Linked DNA regions of Neodiprion lecontei. The protein of the gene in region 1 binds, or shares a complex with, the protein of each later gene. Links are inferred from orthologs where the notes say so. Each region holds a gene or a part of one and is shown in the gene's direction. Other genes may lie near its edges.

Region 1 (6,106 bases):
TTGATACTGTTTAATTAGCCTTTGTGAGATTACTAAGCATCGCTAATTTACAGTAAAAATTATTGCAATTCCGTAATCCGGTAACAAATTTCGAATATTCAAGGTTCTTATTGATTTCGTGAAAGTTTTTCAAAGTGATGTAAATTGAACAACGATTTTATAAAATCAATTTCAGAAGGCTCGTTTTTATAAAGCAGTATATTACAAGCAATGTTTTATTTTACTCAATTAATTAGTTATTTAAACGAAAAATCTAATATTTTTGTGAAATATTAGGTAATACATGCATTTTCGTATACGTACCTAGTTATCCATAAAATATCACTCAGATATTCGTAAAATGCATTTCTACCCTGTTTATCCCCCCTATAAGGCCGTTATTTTATTAGCGAGTAATATTTTTCGGTAATATTAGATTAGTAGAAGAATATTTGTCGCAATATTGGTTCATCGAAATGAGTCTTAACATTTGAAGACTTGATTTGTTTCAAAATCGAAAAAAAAATAATTACGCGTATACAAACATTTAGCATTTTCATTTTCACACCAATTTCTGTTACGCTCGTGACAGCGAAGCCATGACACATGCGCAAAGAGAACCATTCTCAAGTTTATTATAGATACCACATTTTTTGATTTTCCGAAAAAAAAACAAAATTTATGTGAATGCCGTCTTCACACACACACACACACACACACGCACACACATCCGTGTAAAAGCGCGGCGCTGGACTGAGAGCTGTATGATAAGTCACCTTTTGCGGGGCTTAATCCGCCGGCAATAACATCAATTTCTTAGAGCGCATATTCTGGGCACATCAGAAAATCAACAACAAACTTTATGGTGATATATGACCTCTCAACTGCGTTCGAAAATTTGACATTGCTGAACGCCGAATCAGGACTATTGACGGTACGTACAAAACATAGTGTAATTAGCTGTATGGAATAAAGAAAGCATGAACACAAGATTGAGATTGACGTGTAATACGAAAGAATGATCAGTTTAGAAAAAAAATGACGATAAATCGGTTATCCCGCAATAATGTTCGAAAGAATTAATGAGAATTTCTGTCAATATTATGTCAAATAACAGCCAAGAGTGGTTGTTCGAAACCTGGGTTGATCAATTCGTCTTCAATCCACTGATCCCCAATAACTTAAAATGGCTTTAGGATCTACCCATTTTTTACTTCGCCTTCGAAGTCGGCGATCGATGATTAAATTATTTTTCGTCTTGCAAAGGATGCAAGAGATATGAGAGCAGAGAGAAACGTTGATTAATATTCATCGAGACTCACCTTCCCAAAGAAACGACCCTTTATGTAGCTCCTTCCCGTACATATTTTCATCGTAGATCACATTGGGAGTAAAGTTGTTTTTGTCATGTTTAGACATCTCTATTGTTCCGGGTAATTCGAGCCACAGTCCGGTAAAGTTATAACACTTAGAAATCACCTAAAATCACAGTTATAAGGCACGTAGTACACCCAACACCGCTTCTCTTGATCACTCGTACTCAACTGGCTGCGGTTTCGTGTTGAACGGGCACGGGATTTTAATGTTTGAATCGAGAACTTTTAGCCAATAGCGTACGCTCAACTTGATACGTGACATCCAAATTGTTTGATTTTTTCACCTTTGCTTGCCTTGTCACGACATTTGTTTACAAGCAGTCACAACGGTGTCATATGGTTTATATTCACATTCCCGTACGGACGAGATAAACGTGTGAATGCATAGGTGAGGTGTATATCCGTGTATCGGAACGTTACCACTGTAAGTTGTCAGTGAACGTTACTGAACAAGATTGTTTATTCATTTATTTTACGAAGAAACAATCGAGATACGATCTGTGTCCACCGGATGAACAAAAACACTTTCCTTTTCCGTCTATCGATAAAAATTAAATAAATGCATTATCAATGATTTCACCATGGGATATATTCTTTATCGATTCATTGGTTCATTGATCACATATCTTATAGATATGTTTGCGTATATACATGCACATACACACCAGAGATACTTGTAAAACCAAGTAGTTGAAGACACGGTCAACATAGGTATGATAAATTCACAATTAAACTTACTGTAAAGGGAGTAAGAAAAAGACTACTACTAAGTATTTTCGGTGACCACGATAAGGTGGCCACCCCCCTCCAAAATCCAGCCCCGTGATGTTCTGAGAAATTTTTTGCATGATTTCTGAAGGAAATACGACGAACTGTCCGATAGCGAGGACGAAATTTTTATAAAAGCAAGCGATTTTGCGTCCGTGACTCAAAATAAATGTTCATATTTTCTGAACATGCGCCATTTACTGAGTTCGGATATAAAAAATTTTTCGGGATCCGTCCAACCAGTCACCTAGAAATAAATTTAAAATTCGAATTTCGGTCAAGAGGACACGTATCGGCCTACCAGGTTGCAGAGCGAGAGAGACAGGCTGTACACGGCATAACTGCTCTATCTCACTCCTTCGCCACACTTTCTGTACACGCGAAGCTATCTCCAGTAGTATATGCTCCATGGTAATATCTGACAAATTGACCAGCGCCAACTTCACACGAGTGCAGGTAGCGGAGACGGTGGTTGTTGACTGCCGCCTCTGTGTTACATTAGTCGTTTTCCATAGTTCATGGCACAAAATCCAAACCAAAATTTACTGCTCCCGTCACAGCAAGTACATACGTCAATAGCGTATGCGAAAAAATAGCCAAGTGTAAACTAGAATCTGAGTAGTGTTTTAAGGTAGTTTTTATCATCGTCCCGAGGGATTCGCAGGCTCGTTATACTCTGGTTTCAAAATGACTACAGCTGCGAGGCCGACGTTCGAGCCAGCGCGCGGAGGTCAGGGACGCGGAGAGAAGGATTTGAGCGCAATTTCTAAACAATACTCGAGCAGAGATCTGCCGTCTCACACGAAATTGAAATACAGGTAACAGTACAAGTGCAGAGATACCATTTTCGCGTGTCTTATCTCTGTCCTCGTGTGCTTTTTCAATATATCGCGTCATAACCAGAAAGTTCACATAACCTAAAAATTGTCTTCCCAGAGAGTACGGACAGGGAACAACAGATGAGTTGAGAAGCCGTGATTTCCGCAAAGAGTTGGATGAACGTGAGCGGGAAAAAGAGAAGGCGTCGAACCGTCGCATGATTGAACCTGCAAATCGTGATGGTTCAGCTGTCGCAGCAAAAAGACAGAAAATCGATCAAGTACCAGCAGCTAGTTTGGATGCCGACGATCCATTGGACGAAGACGATTCCGATTCTGACAGCGATGAGGATGACACAGTCGCATTACTTGCTGAACTTCAGCGCATAAAGAAAGAACGTGCCGCCGATCAAGCCAAAAAAGTAACGCACCTGGATAGAGATAAATTCTCTCTCCCTGCGATCACTGATTTGTTGATTTATAAATTGTCATTTTTTTTTTTACCAGGAAATAGAAAAGAGACAAGAGGAGGAGCGGATACGCATGGAAAACATCCTTTCCGGTAACCCACTTCTCAATTATTCAGCTCAGCCTGGCCGTACAGACATGAAAGTGAGAAGGAGGTGGGACGATGATGTGGTTTTCAAGAATTGTGCACGCTCAGAACCTGAGAAAAAGCGGGATGTGTTCATAAATGACTCGTTAAGAAGTGAATTCCATCGAAAGTTTATGGAAAAGTATGTGAAATGAACGTTGTGTCTAGCTGAAGAATTTGAATTGATGACAATCTCGTATTGTGTAATAAACAAACTAGACTACAGTTATCATATGCACTTGACAAATTACAATCCGATAATTCGAATCAATTTCATTTTGAATAAAACTAGCGTAAGTGGTATAAACTTTCGTTAACTATCGCCATATTCTTTGTTCTTCTCCAACTATAAATTAAGAAGCTGGAGTGTGTTAAAGTTGATTCATTGTATAACTTGTACAATGTTTGCGATTGCAAAAAAAAACTATTTTCATTAAACTATACATATAGGTAAACCAAGTTGTGTTTGTATGAAAATATTTCTTGACCCAAACACATTTTCTACTTACAAAAAGTGAAAACGATAAACAGTGTTCTAATCGAATAATTTAAGTTTCTTCTTGTTTTTAGTAAAAAAATATCTTGGATTTTTTGTGAAACTATTCCGAAATTTTTGTCATCTGGCATTGTGACCAGCCCATTTATTTACCATTTTCTTTTATAGTATGTAAAGAAGTTTATGCAATGTAACTAGATGAATAAAAGAAAAGCGCGGAAATTATGGAAAATGTTGAAATGTTTCACTGATTTTTATCTACGCCGAATGTTATATTTCCTGGAATTTGTTCGAACGATGATAGGATATCTCTAATGGAAGACAACGAAGACATACGAGTAAGAGGTATGGGACAAGAATTCTTTGCTTCCCATCAGCTACAATAAGAAAACCAATATTAATCACGGAGATAAGAATGCGGTAAAGGAGGGCCTAGATCGCCGTGAACGAGAGTCAAGACTTGATTTCGGTAGGAGTTGGTCCAGCAAACGCATGGGTCAAGTATAACCGGTCCGAGTTATGACCATTGGTATGGTGTTACGTGTACGTACGTACTATACGTGCATCGTCGCCGTTGTCGGGCTGCGGCAGAGGCAAGCAGTCTGGTGCGGCCGTTCGAAGAGCGAGAAATTTATTACAAGAGACATGCGAGTTGGGAATTGTTGGTTGGCGCAGACTTTGCGGCACCGTTTTTGCGCGCAAGCAGGCGCGCTGCCGCTGAGGAAAATCGGTGACTCCGAGTATCGTTAATCAAGATTTAATAACGATCACCCCAAGGCAAGGCGAACGTGCAGCACCTTGCAGAGCAGTTACGTCGATTTCTCGCATATGTACGAAACGTTCGTTCAAATATGCCGAATACACGCATGCATATACGCGACATGGAATTCCATACGTATGTAATACTCGTAGTCGGGAATTTGCCCGCGGGCTTTTCTCCAGCTCTCGTGCATACTTACGTGTATAAGTGCGTAGGTACGTATGTATATACGTACATACTTGTTTATCTTATTAGTTATTTCTTACACGTGAACAGACGGTGCTCCCTGCTTTACCTCGTGCCTCCCTACCTGCCTCTCCGCGCCTCTCTTTTCTCCGTTCTCATCCTCCTGCCCCTCTCCTCTCGCTCTTTCTCTCTCTCCTCCGCGAGCCTCCTCTTCGGCAGGAGAATCTTCTCATCCCGTATTACCTAGCATCCACGTCGGTGTCGACTCGACAGGGCCGTACAATTATTGTTTTTTACAATGTTATCACGGTGTTTGAACACCGACGACAGCTAGTACAGCCCGCGTTTCTCGTAATATCGTTCAAATCAATATTTTCGCGATTTACATTCAATTTGCCGCTTCCGGCGATCATTAGAACGGTTCAGTAATCCAAAGCAATCACGGTTTTAGACCCCATAGCAAGTTTTCCAACGATTTAAATGATGACTCAATAAATCATTTCATAATTAATAATGAAACGTTACTTATGTATTTTATCGAGTCCGCTTTTTTCACATACACACACTTTGGCTACATCAGTCTAATTAGTTGTCCCCGTCAGTAAAAATGTTCTTCATTCAACGATCGGTGGTAGCAGCCTTCTTTAGATCTACCGTTCTGGTAAAAAATACATATCAATTTTTACACGATGATTCATAAGAGACTGAATAAACATCAATTATCTATATATTGTCCCAATTCAGCATCAAATATTTGAAAAATTGCATTTGTATGCGTTCTTCATGAAAAGAATATTATATTTCACTACATTTCCGCTATTACGGCATACGCTACTGTACTTCTGGTATAAACAAGTTACGAGATGGAATTCGAAGAAGTTGTCAGCTTTATAACTGATCAGTGCCATTTGATGGCTTCAATTATAACCGCCGTTTTTGTGCCATTCTGCACGATGTCTTGAATTTTTGATCGAACCCCGGCATATCCCGTACCGCAATAAATACTTTCACCCAAACATTACTCTCTCTATCTTTCGCTCTCCGTCCTGCTCTTCGAGAAACGGTCCTACACCAATAACAACAACAACAACAACATCAACAACAAAACACGCGTAAATATGCAACCAG
Region 2 (8,665 bases), about 150 kb from region 1:
CAGAGTATATGGAAATATAACTTATTTACCTGGCATGTTGCAAAGGATATGATAGGGGGGATTGCCTGTCGCTACACTAAATTTTGCAACCTTAGCCATGTTTATCCTATTCACAACCTTAGAAAAATCGGCATCTTCATAGAAGTTGACAGTGCTATTAACCAGCATACCACATATCCTTTCATCACTGGACCACTGAAGCTCCCTGGCATTATTTACAGCAATGAATTATCATCAAATCTTGAAATGTGTGGCAAACCAATTTGAAATTGTATGTATCTTCCCACCCTTACCAGTCCATTTGTTTCTTATGAATAAAATCCTTGACCAGCTCTCCATTTTCAGATTTCCATATACAGAGGTTTGGACAGCCCTGGGGATTAGCCTGCGATACTGAAACATAGATTTTGTGGTAGAGCAAAAGGGCCTTAAGCATTTGCTATAACATATCAGTGGAATATCAAGTTTGCACATTAATTTGATCGAATCATATTTTCAAAGTATTTTAATCATTAATCATTAGAATTGCCGAATTTATGTCAATTTCTGAATAATCAATATCCTATACGCATGGAAATGAGAATTATGAAATATACAACGTACTTATAAATGGTTCCCAAGTTGCTAGGTAGGTTCCCTTGGGTGAAAAATCTATGGCAGAGATCTTAGGCCGTTTAATTTCAGCAACTATTTGCCAATTTTCGGTAGCAGCTATCTTCAACGATACTCCATTTGTCCAGACGTAGTATCTTCCCTCAGGGCTAAAAGCCATGAGTTTACAAGATCTACTGGCATCGCGGGGGAAACCACTGACTGGCTCATAGGTTGGTGGACCCTGGCCCAGACTCGTTCCTGTCGAACCTCGCACTGTAGATAAATACGTTTAACCATATAAATATTATGTATATATTAATTCATGACTCAGTGACTTCAATCTTTCCACCTTCTGCATTGCACGGTGAAATCTCTCGAGCAGTACGCTCGTGAACATGTTCTGCAGATATAGCCTTCGTACGTGTTACGCAGGATTATCTGGGGAAGCGTGAGCTGAAAACACTAACGAAACCACGGAAAACGCCGGCGAGAATTATCGTAAAAATTAACTGACTTACCAGCGATACAAGGAACGGTCGTGGCCATTTTGTAACTTATATTTCTGCCCCTTGCAGAATCCGAGTTAATCCGACATTTTCAGATATGAATTTGTGCTTGCAGAGGGTTCCTAAATTTTTGTAGATCTTTCTTCTTCCTATCCAATTTGATAAACAAGGATGCCACGATTACGTGCATTCATGTACGTACGATACACAATTCGTAGCTACACAAATACTGTTGTACTCTACCGGGCTTGAATTATAACTGGAAATGCGATCGCAGCGATCGCAGCGGACAAGACTAGATACGTGTGCGTTTATACTAGCTGCTAGTGGCAGCTTCGCTCACATACTGGCATGTATGCAACGGTAGTGTGGTCAGGAGTGAGATATATTTATATTTATGTTTATATATATATATATATATCCGTATAATATAATGTTTTTGTCGTTGTACATTTGGTTAGGCGAAACGTATGGAAGATGAAACAACCATACCGAATATATATGTATTTTTCTCTCTCTCTCTCTCTCTCTCTCATCACTACGGCTTTAGTTTTCGCAGTTTTCGCGAGGTTGACAGAATGAGTAACTGCCTCCAGTAGTATACGCTCTAAAGTTTATATAGATTTGAGATAGCATAGCCATATATCTTTATACATAAGCCATTTTATACAACATGCGCTTACCGGCCAAATACGTCACGAATCAGTTCTAAACCTCTATTTCGTGTCAAAGAGCGGTACTAAACCACGAACACGAAAACACGAGCGTGTAGGCTCGCTCTGGCTTCCCTCTAGTTACGGATTTCTATGTCATAGAGTGAGACCATACAGAGCGGGTGACTTTGGAAGGTATATTGAGGGAATCCACTGGTGTTCGGTGGGAACTCCCACGACTATAAGAGAGCTAGTCAAGTGTTAATATAAAGTGAAAGAGATCATGAGCATTCTCAGTTCTGATTTTGATACTTACAGATACGTGAAGATAATTGTTACGTTGTGCTGTCTGGTACAGAAGAAAAGTGTTATTTAATTAAAAAGCATTGATGTATTAACATTTGAAATCTGGTAGAACTCTTCAATATTGAGCTAGATCACGAGACTGGACAGCTTAGAGCCCCCATAAACACGGTCCAACATCAACGTGCTGTACTGTACGCGTAGGTACTCAATGATGCAGTGAGCTATACCATCCTAAGCACTGCTGAGTATTTTATCAACCGTAATAATTAATTTCACAGAAGCAAATGAAGATATCAATATTTGCCATCGTAGCCGTAACAATGATCCTTATTTCGGCTGAGGTAATTAATGTTGAAGCTGGACTGGTGGGTGTTGGACTTTGCTACGCCGGCTGCGCGACGCTCGCCGTCGCATGCTTTAGTGCAGCTGGTGCCATATTCGGCGTCGCAAAAATTGCCCAGATCAATGCATCACCAGCCCTAGGAAAATGCAATTCGGCATTCAGTTCTTGCGAATCTGCCTGTGTTGGAGCATTTGGTTGATCTAGACGTGTCATCTAGATGTATCGTAGTCCGAAGGTCGTTGCTGACCAAATCATGAATGAAAGCTGCAATAAAAACTCGTAAAATATCTCACTGTTGAATGTATTTCACCGTTGTTTGCCGCCTTATCGATATTCACTTTTCACGCTCGATACCATTCACCACTTGCCGTCCTGTTCCGTTCCAAGTTCCATTTGTCCCGTTGTAACCTAACCTGATTCAACCCAATTCAACCTAGCTGATAATAATGTATGCCTATGCATAAGTATGTATACACATGGTAATACGGAGAGTACCAATATAGACTCATTGTCAGTCACTGAAGAACATAGTCTTTAATCAACACATCAGGATTTATGTACTAGGGTTATACACAATTACCATGTATGGCTTTATTCTGTTATTGGTTAATTATCACGTTTACTTATTAACATAAAATTAAGTAGCTGTGATTTAAAAATATCGAGACAAACAGTTTTCGATATGGATATCGGTGAACTATTATCATACAAGGTAATTATTCAAGTATTTTTAAAGGTTACCAAAGTTAGGTGATGTTTAGTTTTCAATCTGAACAGTAAAGTTTCTTACGCTTATTGTATTACTTTCGTTACTATACTTAAGCTACTTATTAACGATATTCACACTACAAGTGTGTGTCAGTAACATAACCTGCCAATCTCTGAGACACTGGTGGTTATCGTCGTTAGATAAGGGTGCGCTCACTGCATTACTGTCATTAGCTGATAAACCTGCAAGTTATGATGATTTCTGTTGGAGTAGGTTGGGTTTTATGTAAGGAATTAACTTTTAGCCACCCAATACACCGAAACGACCAGTACATGGAGATGAAGAAGATGAGGATAACTGGGAAAATGCTAAACGATCAAAGCGTGTGATTAAAACGCCATATCATCCTCGTCAGCGACAGATTAATGAGGGTGATCTCACTCCAGCTGTTAGCAAAGAACCTCCTACACCAATCAGAGCTGCACTTCCAGCTCCAGCCAATGATGTTGTCGAACCTCAGTTGACAGAAAAAGAAAAACAAGAGATTATCAAGTATGTAGAGACGGAAGCAGCAGAGGTTGAAGCTTTAGATGAAGCCACGCTAAAGCGAATGATTCTGTTGTTTGAAAAACGAGCTCTTCGGAATCAAGAGATGCGGGTGAAATTTCCAGATCAACCAGAAAAGTGAGTTAGCATTTACCCAATTATTTGTGAAAACAAACTACCAAATGTCATTTTACCATTCTGTCTTTTCTAGGTTCATGGAATCTGAGTTGGAGCTACATGAAACATTGCAAGAACTAAATGTAGTAGCAACAGCCCCAGATCTCTACCCGATAATGGTAGAACTTGGTGCTGTGGCTTCCATGCTAGAGCTTCTGTCTCATGAAAATACAGACATTGCTGTTGGGGTGGCTGATCTGCTGCAAGAGCTTACAGATGTTGATATTTTGCATGAAAGCCAGGAGGGTGCAGATATCCTTATAGATTCGTTGCTGGAACAGCAAGTATGTGCCCTTTTAGTGCAAAATTTAGAAAGGCTTGATGAGAGTGTAAAGGAAGAAAGCGACGGAGTTCACAATACTTTGGGTAATATTCAATAAGACAGCAAGATGATTATTACAATATGGACGTATAAAGTTGATCTAAGTTCAATTAGGACATGAAATTATTAGGGATATTTATTTTTGATCTTAGTTGTCACCTTTACCTAAAGGGTTATTCCTTAATTTTTTTCAAGCCATATTCGAAAATCTGCTCGAGTTCAGACCAGACCTCTGCGTAGATGCAGGTAAACAAGGACTCCTCCAGTGGCTACTACGAAGAATCAAGGTGAAGGCTCCATTTGATGGAAATAAGCTATATGCCAGTGAACTGCTGTCCATACTTGTTCAACAAACACCTGAGAATAGGTTGCTGCTTGGGGATTTGGATGGAATAGATGCTCTTTTACAACAACTCGCTGTAAGGGTTTTGCTGTTTTCTAACTATATTGGAATTAATCTCGATGAAAGAATAACAGATGCAAACCCGTTCACTGTAATCCTTTAGTTCTACAAGCGTCACGATCCTCGAACAGCGGAAGAACAAGAAATGATGGAGAATCTTTTCAATGTTTTGTGCTCCAGTCTAATGGCAACGATAAATCGAGAACGCTTCCTCCGTGGCGAAGGACTCCAGCTCATGAATCTAATGTTACGTGAGAAGAAAATGTCTCGTAATGGATCTCTAAAGGTACCACGTATATTGAGAAATTTATGGAAAGTTGTCACAGCCATTGACGCAGATTTCCGGTTTCTAGACAGGGGTTTATATTACAGGTACTGGACCACGCTATGAATGGGCCAGATGGAAAGGACAATTGCATGAAATTCGTAGATATACTGGGATTAAGAACAATTTTTCCATTGTTCATGAAAACACCAACTAAGAATCGAAAGAAAATACTCACAACGGAAGAGCATGAAGGTAGTTACATCATTTTTATTTACTACTGTTCCCCTCCTGCTGAACTCACCATTCTGTCTTGTTCCCACCACCATGTATTTATTCAGAGCACGTCGTTTCCATTATCGCAAGTATGCTGAGGAATTGTAAAGGAGCACAGAGACAGCGTCTGATAAGCAAATTCACAGAAAACGATTTTGAAAAAGTCGACAGACTGATGGAGCTTCATTTTAAATACCTAGAAAAAGTAGAGGAGGTCGAAAGAGATACAAAGGCAAGTCGTAACTATAACTAGCTATTGTTCACTTTTGTAATAATCTATAAATTAATATCAAAACTGACATTACTTACCTTGATTATACTAATTTTTAATCACTACAAATTTGTGTATGTGTGGGATTTAATCAGTGGATATTTTCTATTCCTGATATTATTTAAAATTTCTAATTTACAGGATGACGAAGAAGAGGAAGAATCTTACATGAGGAGACTGGACGGAGGATTATTCATTCTCCAGTTAGTAGATTACGTTTTATTGGAAGCCTGTACTGGCTGTCCACCAACAGTGAAACAACGTGTAACGAGAATTCTCGCACAAAGACGAGCATCTCTCAAAACCATAAGGCACATTATGAGAGGTAGAATAGACAGCTCATATTGTGAATTCGCACTCCCAATACCCTTTTCTCTCTTTCTACAATATGAAGGAGACAACATAGAAATCGTTTCTTTTCTTAATTTCTACAGAATATGCGGGTAATCTTGGTGATGCTGGTGACAATGAGTGGAGAGAGGCGGAACAGCAACATATTTTGCAATTGATCGACAAGTTCTGATGTCTACCTGCCTCGCGATTTTCACCCTTTACATTCATCAGAGGATTCTCACACATTACCCAATCGTGTTCACACGTAATTAGAGATGTAGAAAAATCCACTGTACATCGGCTAAAATCGAAAAATTTACAGATTATTGCAATCACGTAGTATTAATCACATTTGCATTTAATTTACATCGTTAATAAGAATGAATTGTCAGTAAACGTGATGCGCTGTTTTTGTAGGTAGTTTTGTTGCGATTCTATCAGTGTAACTCCTACTGACCAGCTTATCTTGCATCTCAATGCCAATAAAATCGAAGTGAGTCATAATATGTCTACATACATAATCTTGCCATATATTATTCTTATAATTTTTACGTCATTTTCTGTTCCCTACAGTTCGTTACTTCATCATTAATCAGGATTAAAGAATGGTATGTATAACATACTTACATTTACAGCTTTGGTAGTTCTGTATTTTTCTCGAATAAGCCACAAAAATTGAAAAGAAGCGTCGCTTCATCAGTTGACAGTCATCTGTACTATGAGTTGTAGTCAACATTTGTTGTAATGCCTTTCTGCTTTGTTCTTCACTGTTGCTGCAACTTATATTTTTTAACATTTTGAATCATTATTTGTGAGAGGATGGATTTGGTTCGATGATGAAAGAATGACAAGGCTTCTATACAATTTAATTATAATTGTCTTCAGACGGTCTGCAATTTGCTACTGCAAATCTACCGAGTGAAAAAAAAGTCGAAAATTTTCGTTAATCATATCAGACCATTTTTTAAAGTTTTAAACGAATATGATTTTATTTACATTTGAGCGGAGTACACAGTAGGTGCTATGCAATCACAACAATAATATTATCATTGTAAGATGATAAAAAATAAACAATTATGTATTACAATCTAATATGGATGAGTCGCGTCTTGTATTTTCCCTGATACGCTAAAATGTAAAGTCTCGTGCTCTGCAAACCTAATGGCGTAATGAGATAATGAAAATATGATTAAAAAAAAAATTAAAAAACATGTTTTATGTACAATGTGAGAATTCGACGTAAAGTCAGTCACGCCTTTTTTGCGCGCCGTCAGTTCCGTCGCTTTTCAGGATCAGTCCAGTTCGTTGACTCGATATAACGAACATCCGTCGCAGATTTATCTAACAATAAGCATTGGATCACAGCTAATCTACATGAAAATCTTACCTCTAATGATAATTAATATGTCGCTAATGCTAAATAGGTCACTCGTTAATGACTCGATAAGACATGCCTTAGACGAACGAGTTTCCTAAATACATCGCGTGTGAGGAGACGCGGCAGAATGATTCCAAGGCGTTAAACTGTATCGAAATACATGAGTCAAGCTCATTAAACTCTCTTTTCACTGTATGTTTTACGCTAATCTGTTGCCGCATCTCATCGCATTTTTTTCAATAAGAATATCCTTTGCAATAACGTGGGTGATGAATTGAAAACTGTGGGAATAAATAAATAGCGATATCACGAACGATTGCGTGTGATGTTAGTGGAAGACAATAACGGTGTCGGACTGCAATGCAATTTTAGCCCTTATTTAACACTGAAAGTAATGGGGACTCAATAAATCACCAGGCCTGGATATGCCTCTGATTGTACGTAGCATTAAAAGTATCGAAATAAAATACACGAGATAACACGGATGATGGCAAGTTGCTTTGATTGTTTACGCTTCACGCGTTATTTTTCTTATTTATACTTTGTTTCATCACTCACCAGCCTTAGAGTGATGGTTATGGGAGGGTTTCACAAAGGAAGGTAGAATTTTTTGAATGTCAAGTACATGTCAATTCAATAAACATAACAACGTCCCCACTACGCCCATGTTCATCTACTTGTAAGAATATTGAATGAACGGTAACCGGGTGGATAATAAACAGGTACTGGCCGTGGTGAAAAAATTTCCAAAAATCTCATATTAAGGGAAGTTTTTTCAAAACAGTACCACCAAATTCACCAACAAATGAGCTAGCAGCAAAGAAACGATAGTTGAAACCTATTTCCGGCAATCAAAGATATGAAAACTATGTCAAGCCTAACAGCCGCTCAGCCTTCTCATGCTTTGTTATCCAACGCTAGCCCTCTCTAGCTTGATCTATGGGTTTCATCTATCTGGCTACTTGATTTATCATTAACCACCGATCAACGTATGAGGCAGGTGGCGCAAATCCGTTGAGGTCCAATACAGTCATCATGGCAAAAGGCTCCGCATTGACGACATATGACCATGGCACCTCTCATATTGCATTCACATGGTGGTGGAGGATCACCACCCATAATAACACCGGGAGCACCAGGCTCAGCACCACCACCACCTCTCCCATCTGAGGCACCCCTTGCCTTCAGAGTTACAGCTTGATGAGAACCCTCCCCGGCGCTCGCTGGCCTTCCTCTGACCAGATGAAGTCCCACTCCCATTCCAGCTATTTGGGGGGGTAGCGGCGGTGCCGATGAAGCCCGAGGTGCACTGTCACCAACTCCAGTTCTTTGTACCAAGATGTATTGCCCCAGGCCATTTGTTCCATTGGGACCCAGCTGAGCCACTGCCCCACTTTCAGTCACCTGAAACATAATTTATGTAAGTTATTTTAAACAAAAAGATCATAAAGTTCCTACAGAATAACCAAATCACATTTCACATTTACCTCTGCAGGTATGGCTTGCCGTGTGGTAGCAAATACGTGTCTAAGCATCACTGCTTGACCCTTATTCTGCGTATGTTTTACATGCTGCACGGCTTG

Evidence for each region.
Region 2: protein CWC15 homolog (region 1) and beta-catenin-like protein 1 share a complex: the UniProt entries of both Homo sapiens proteins name them as parts of the PRP19-CDC5L splicing complex. The link is inferred for Neodiprion lecontei from reciprocal best matches to the Homo sapiens genes CWC15 and CTNNBL1.

The regions. Positions count from the first base shown.
Region 1 is NC_060261.1:30,138,228-30,144,333, forward strand, and holds protein CWC15 homolog, read left to right. Parts: upstream 1-2,587; 5' UTR 2,588-2,810; coding exon 2,811-2,941; intron 2,942-3,059; coding exon 3,060-3,363; intron 3,364-3,448; coding exon 3,449-3,691; 3' UTR 3,692-3,761; downstream 3,762-6,106. UniProt on the Homo sapiens protein: Involved in pre-mRNA splicing as component of the spliceosome. Component of the PRP19-CDC5L complex that forms an integral part of the spliceosome and is required for activating pre-mRNA splicing.
Region 2 is NC_060261.1:30,285,741-30,294,405, reverse strand, and holds beta-catenin-like protein 1, read left to right. Parts: upstream 1-2,848; 5' UTR 2,849-3,084; coding exon 3,085-3,114; intron 3,115-3,415; coding exon 3,416-3,795; intron 3,796-3,868; coding exon 3,869-4,200; intron 4,201-4,351; coding exon 4,352-4,575; intron 4,576-4,662; coding exon 4,663-4,845; intron 4,846-4,931; coding exon 4,932-5,079; intron 5,080-5,165; coding exon 5,166-5,332; intron 5,333-5,512; coding exon 5,513-5,696; exon of another isoform or gene 5,697-5,805; coding exon 5,806-5,894; 3' UTR 5,895-6,208; downstream 6,209-8,665. Other genes in the region: eukaryotic translation initiation factor 2A, read right to left, coding at 30-205, 294-393, 604-867, 1,113-1,140; polycomb protein Asx, read right to left, coding at 8,067-8,486, 8,570-8,665. UniProt on the Homo sapiens protein: Component of the PRP19-CDC5L complex that forms an integral part of the spliceosome and is required for activating pre-mRNA splicing.